2 linked regions of the Schizosaccharomyces pombe genome follow. The gene in region 1 interacts genetically with each later gene. Each region holds a gene or a part of one and is shown on either strand. Other genes may lie near its edges.

The links. A genetic interaction does not mean that the proteins touch.
Region 2: mutations in sap14 (region 1) and SPOM_SPAC18B11.03C together harm fitness more than expected from each alone (negative genetic interaction), as found in Schizosaccharomyces pombe (one large-scale study listed by BioGRID).

What each region holds. Positions count from the first base shown.
Region 1 is NC_003423.3:2,049,350-2,052,782, reverse strand, and holds sap14 (Pre-mRNA branch site p14-like protein), read left to right. Parts: upstream 1-2,014; 5' UTR 2,015-2,087; coding exon 2,088-2,331; exon of another isoform or gene 2,332-2,424; coding exon 2,425-2,525; 3' UTR 2,526-2,786; downstream 2,787-3,433.
Region 2 is NC_003424.3:309,883-313,643, reverse strand, and holds the start of SPOM_SPAC18B11.03C (N-acetyltransferase), read right to left. Parts: upstream 1,736-3,761; 5' UTR 1,463-1,735; coding exon 1,432-1,462; intron 1,430-1,431; exon of another isoform or gene 1,371-1,429; coding exon 58-1,370; 3' UTR 1-57. Other genes in the region: ncs1 (calcium-binding protein), read left to right, coding at 2,210-2,273, 2,313-2,345, 2,464-2,807, 2,854-2,985.

The sequences.
Region 1 (3,433 bases):
TTTCCGACAAGTTGAAAAAGACGGCGAAGCAAACCTATTTGTTCACTTATACAAATATATTAAAAAATAATTAAAATCTTTAATTTGTTAACTCGGTAAAATCGTTAAATTATCGCTAAATAAATTTATCGACCTTTATCAAATTTTCTTCATTCAATTTACGAGTTCTCAACCACCGTTTCGTTATAAATATTTGCGTATTCAACGTTAAAAACCGTAATTATCCTTCTTGCCTTTCCGGCCCAGTGGAAGTTCCAATGACGCCGCGGAAGGGCTGCACACCTCAGTAGCGAATATGGGGAAAGAGCAAATTCATGCTTGCCACGATGACTACCTGGATGCTTGATGTAGGTGACGTGTTACTTAAGATGAAAATGTAAATACAAGAGAAGAAATGGGTCAAGAAGGCGATTAATGGATGAAAAGAGAAATTATTCATAGAAAAATTTTTCCTTAAATATGCGCTTTTATTAATCTTTCGTTTAGGTTTTTTTCTCTCGTAAATTAATTCAGATATAGGTATTTAATCAACATTGCCAATTTCAACAAGTTTTAGGGGTTACGTGCAATAGTTTTATTGTTCTATTGTTTTTTAATTCTTCTCTCAATCCTAACTCTTGAAATTTTGTCGTACAAGACATTTTTCGCATTTCGTCAAGTTAAATTTTATGTTAAACTAGAGTTATTTGCGAATTAGGCTAATGAGCAGAAACCACTTGAATATACAAAATTTTATTTATTTATTTATTTATTTATTTTTTTTAAAAAAAGAGTAAATGGTAATTAATCTACTAGAAGCGTAAAAAGAATTGTTCAATACTTCAAAAAGAAAAATATGTATATCATATATCAAACCAGATTAGCAATCAATGCCAATAGCTTTATTCATTGAAAAAATAAAAAAAATAAAGAACGGTTATAGATGAGTCAATTAATTTCGTACTTTAACGTTAGTTGGTTTATTTCGTTTTTGTACAACATTATTTACTTTTTTAAATACTTAGTTCCTGCTTATCATAATGAATATAGCTAGCTTCATTAGTTAAAATTATTAGTATAGTTTTCGAAATTGTAAACGCTACTATAGTTTCTTTTTTCTGTAATTTCCTAAATTGCTTCAAAACAGCATTTGCAATGCAGCACATTCTCAATTAAGAGCAGTTGTAAGCAAAGAGCAATGAGAAATCTTTCAAATTAGATAAAATGAAGTACAGTAAGATCCACATATTCAACAAAGCTATCCTTTCCCTTTAGTGTCTCTGTTGCTATCACTTATATACGAAAGCATGGCATTGGAAGCGTAAAATGAATCATTAATTTTGCAGATGTAGTTTTCTGGGATCAGGAAATAAAAAATTTAAGAAATTTCAAAAGAACTTGAGAAGAAATTGATGAACTAGTTGGTCTGTAGGCAAAAGATCAATGATACCAAATTGTTTCCTTGATAAAAGTCCCATTGCCAAACAAGAGTATAAGTTAAAAGAAAGTAAAGAAATAAGGAAAAATATAAATTGATGATACAACTATACTATCAAACTATTCTTTGCAATTGTCAGTTTTAAAGTTGAAACCTATTTCCTGTAGGATAGACAAACGAGGAAGCAAAAAATACCAATAAAAATGTTTATGATTTTCAACTAGTTATGTATAATTTGAAAATCACTTTAAATTGACTCTCTATTGAAATCACCGCCATGTCAGTTTCAACTCTGATCAAAGATCTCATGAACTAAGGATTGCATTTGACATTTGGAGTTACCAGGTAAAAGAAGAGGAAAATTTTGGTAAAAGGTTGAACCGTTTTGTCTACGATCTGTTGGTCCATTCGATTTCCCAGCATATACCTCTTCTTGTCCAAACCACGAAACGTAACCTTTAATATTCATGTCTCAATCTTTTCTACTATAATTAAACTCACGTATAGGATTGACTATACAACATCAATCTCCAAGCTGTGATAACGAGTATTTTCCATCTGATCCCAACCAACCTTTTAGGAATATTTATCCTTTCCAAAGCAAACCAAATCATTTCTTTTCGAAATTTGATTTTTTTAACAAAAAGTGTTAAGATCGTAAAAATAACAAATGCCTCCATCTACAGTTAATCAAGAAGTCAATTCTATCCTATTCATCAAGAACTTGTCTTTTAAAATTACAGCAGAAGAGATGTACGATCTTTTTGGTAGGTATGGTCCTGTACGACAAATAAGGCTGGGGAATACGGTTCAAACAAGAGGTACTGCATTTGTGGTTTATGAAAACGTTCAAGACGCTCGTCGAGCTTGCGAAAAGCTTTCTGGCTACAACTTCATGGATAGATACTTGGTTGGTACGTTATCTTAGGGAATGTATTAGCTACTATTAATTTTAATTTCTCCTTTCTAACGGCTTTTTAATATCTTCTTGTTAACTTTTTTTTTAGTGCATTATTATAACCCTGAAAGAGCTAAGGTTGATGGTCAAGATTTGGCAGCAAGGTATGCCGCCTTGGAACAAGTTAAGCAAAAATACGGTGTTCAGTGAACGTTTACTATTTATTTACCAAAAAAAAACAAACAAATTAGGAGTCTGATATTGACTCCATTAACGTGTAATAGATTTCCTCTTTCTATAAATTCTGTTGAAGAGAACATACAGCAGAAAAATGAATCGGCTCATATTAAACAATCGTTTACTAGTGTTTCGAACCTAGGTATAAAAAAGGTACTATAAGGACTTGAATTTTATTATATTTCGCTTAAAGCTTTTTAGTAATAATAATGTAATGCATTGATCTATAATATAACAACGTCTACATGTAGTATTAAGATTTGAATCCCTAATAAAACGTATCCAAATTTGCCCAACCGTATTTCCCAATTAATAATTTTATCTGGCACAAACTTCAAATCATAATGAGCTAGTTTCCAAAGTCCAACCCTTCCAGCTTCATTACCAACACATAACTCACCACCCTTACCAAAAGCTAGGCATGTAACTCTGCCTAAAGGCGTAGCGCTGGTGGGCCAATTACGGAACACACTAAAGCTGGGAACATGAACGAGTCGTAGAGTATCCTTCTTTCCTCGAGATGCGATAGCTAAAACTTGACTATCTTGAGAAAAGCTCATACTATTTATGCTGAAAGTAATATTATCCAATGTAGTGACAGGTTTTGGTGCAGCGTCCGCATTGGATGTCTGGAGGTCATATATATTAACAATACCACTCTTGCTACCAATTGCCAAATACTTATTAGATGGGTCCAAACAAAAATGAGTGGTAGATACACCATCTTGAACTTGCCAACGACGAACGACTGAACGTTGCTCAACATTAAAATGCCATACCTCCGCACCATAACTAAGCACCAACATTTCCGACCCGTCAGAAGTGAACAAAACGTCGGAAAGTACACCTTCAATTTTAAAGCTTGTAGCAAACTGACCAGT
Region 2 (3,761 bases), on another chromosome or scaffold:
AAATAGGTAAAAAAATAAACAAACCTATTAGTCGATGATATTTTATACTGGGAACGGCTATGAATTCATAGAAACCTTTTCGAGAATACTTAGAAACTTATCCCTTATTTTTATAGCCAGCTCATGAGTTTGTTCGGTGTTCCCATCATCAAAAATAGAGAGGGAAAACGAACATGGACCATCTGCTACTGTTATAACATTTAGTACAAAAGGTGCAGAAAGACTGGAACAAGGTTGTGCAAATGCCATATTCTTGATTTTTACCGACGAATCGGCGGGAAAGCTAAAATACCCCAAATTAGATATTTCAGCCGTATTTCCTCTAGTTTTTTCACAAGATTTTAAAAGGTAGTCTTCAATATCAATATAACTTAGCAATCCAATTTGTTGAGACATCTCCCTAGGATTGCTAAGCGCTGCTTTTAATCGATGCGAAAACTCAGTTGCTAAATCTACCATGGTATGTTTATAGTCCTCCTGACGCTGACTTGGCTGAAAACCGTTTAGATGATGAACGTAAGAAAACACATAGTTTCCCATGGTTTGCTTGGCTACGGGCAAAAAACGGCGCGCATTCACATCAATGAGCATATCTAGGTTAACTTTACCATTTTTAGCAATAGCATAATATATACTGAGCATAAAGACAGAATAAAAAATCGAAGTGAAAGAAGCGTCTATGTTTTTTGAGAGTTGCTTGATGTTTTTAACAACAGCATTAGAAATTGAAAAGAATATTGTATGCGATGAAAATGGACGCACTGGAGCATGACCTTTATAAGAAGGAGACCGAAAGCCCTTAGAGAACGGAAGTCCAGAGTTTGTCCATAGTGCTTTCATTAGACAAAACCATGAAGGATGAACATCTATTAGTTTTTCAAGATTTTTAGGAAGTGGTAATTCTGATACTGGCACGGTTGAAGATGAAAAATTTGTTTTGGACATTTGTAATCCTTCCAAAACATATTTATGAAACAAAGGGCCACTTCCTCCGTCGAAAAGGGAGTGATCATATATAAAAACTAATTCGGACTTATCATTTAGTACATAGACCATCCAAAGAGGAAGTGTCTCATCGTCATAACATAGCTTAAAATTTTGAAGAGCGTTATTGCAGAAGCTATCAACTTTCTGATCATCAGCATATTTAACGACCTTATCAAGGTCTATTGTTTTCAACTTCTTTACAATGGGAATTTTGCTATGACAATTGTGGATCCTAGCACCTAGCATCGGTTGATTGACAATTGCATGATATACTGCTGGATATAAAACTGTCGAATCGAGCGAAATAGAGTAAGTTGCAGAAACAATTACTATAGAAAACATATTTAAGACATTCCTCTTGACGGAATAAATTTCCAACCGTCCTGTAGACATTAGTAAGAAAATGATTAGAAAATCGAAGAAATGTTAAACATAATTACCAACCTGCTTCTCTTTCTTCCATGTAGGTATCCATAATGATATTAATAGCTTTGCTTCAACGACAATTCAATAGTTTTGAAACCGAATAATGAGAGAATGCACTATTTAATCAGTGGTGAGTTATTTCAACGCGTAAAAAATGAAAATTTACATAAATTTACCAAGCGGCGCAGTGGAATCTCAATATCCATCGATAATCAATTGTAGTTAAATTCCAGCTACTTTGTTCATATTTTTATTTTTGAAACAGATAGATTTAAAATATAAAAAATGTATTTTCTGAACTGTAATAAAGGATGGTAAAGGTAAAACTACAAGATCAATAACTAATGTACAAATGAACTTTCAAAACATCAACTTGATGTTTTCAGTGATCTATAAAAAATCATTTTTTATGCTTACTATTTAAATATTTTTTTATATTCGTTCACATAAGTATCAACAAAGCTTGCATATTTTATTATTCACATAAATTGTTATATATCTGGAATACACTAGTTTAAAAATTTTCTAATAAATTTCTGCCAAACATGTATACGTAAATTTACATATCTTAGAATTAAAAAAAGATGAATTTACTTTTATAATGAGCCAAATAGGAACTGTTTTAATACCATTTAACACTAGTTACAACTTGTCGATTGACAACTCAATTTACCCTGCGCCTCCCCAACTTCAACTACTGCTAATTGCTAAACAACTTTAATATCCGACAAGTTACTTAAAAAAAATTATAAATTAAACCAACTATCCTCTGAGAAAAGATTAACTTGTCTTCAAGATGGGAAAATCACAATCAAAATTGTCTCAAGATCAACTCCAAGACTTAGTTCGTTCTACAAGGTGTACGTTTTGTAAAACTAGTCAATACTAACAAATCCAAGTTGATAAAAAGGAATTGCAACAATGGTATAAAGGTATGACAGCTATCCTAAAAAAATTGATTTTACATCCGCATCATGGTTCTGCAATTTGAATAAGATTCTTAATTGCTGCTAAATTGAATGTTTAACGCTGAATCTAACAAGTATGCAGGGTTTTTTAAAGACTGCCCTTCTGGCCATTTGAATAAGTCTGAATTTCAGAAAATCTATAAACAATTTTTCCCATTCGGTGATCCGAGTGCTTTCGCTGAATATGTATTTAATGTTTTTGATGCTGACAAAAATGGATACATTGATTTTAAAGAATTCATTTGTGCTTTAAGTGTGACTTCGAGAGGTGAACTGAATGATAAACTTATATGGGCATTTCAATTATACGATCTTGATAATAATGGATTGATTTCTTACGACGAAATGCTACGAATTGTTGATGCTATCTACAAAATGGTTGGTAGCATGGTCAAGTTACCGGAGGATGAAGATACTCCTGAAAAGGTTTGAATATTTAGTATGTTGAGCATAATGTCTAATAATTTTTTAGCGCGTCAACAAGATTTTCAATATGATGGATAAAAACAAAGATGGGCAACTGACACTTGAGGAATTCTGCGAAGGGTCCAAACGTGATCCGACTATCGTGTCAGCCCTTTCTTTATACGATGGATTGGTTTAGCTTTTCACCCCTAGTATGCATTATTATCAAAGTTTTCTTCTGCATATATATCTTCGATTAAACTACATTTTCGTTTTTATCTGTCTACCTCTCAACTTTTTTGTTGGTGAGATTAATAAGGTAGTTTTACTGTGCTTTTACTTAACATATCTGTTGTTTGTTTTCTGGCTTACTTCCTTGTTCTTTTTTGCTTCACTCAATGAAAGTACATTTTGCCTTTTATTACATTTTTTAATATAATGAAGGTTTTAGGCTCTTGCTTTAGATAAAATTCAAGAAACTATTTATAAATAATTCAGCGCGAGACATTTTTACATAGGTTCTTGCTCAATGCGGTTTTCATATATTCTTGTGCAATCACTGGATTATTTGTACCTGAAAGCTAGGGCAGTTAAATTAATTTAGTCCGAAAACGAATTGACATCTTTTACGAGTTTTTCAAACGTTACTTTTCTTTTACTGTTAATATATTCTCCATTAATAATCATCTATTTTTCACACATTTTAATGAGTGTGGTCATGCTTAGCTAAATTAAGCTTTAGGTTGTCTTTATAGATTATCACCCTGATAGTCGATTTAGATATTTATAAGTAATTATCTTTTTTAAATACTAATTTTGTGGCTTTCAATTCATTTATGAGTGTATTCATTTGAGAAATTTCTTATGTATAAATGCTTCGCATAAAGACGTTGCAATTTTAGTAGGCTTAACCCTAGTACGGCAACACCCAACTTCTTAATGGCAGGCCTGAACTTGGAGTTTTTCAAGGTATGA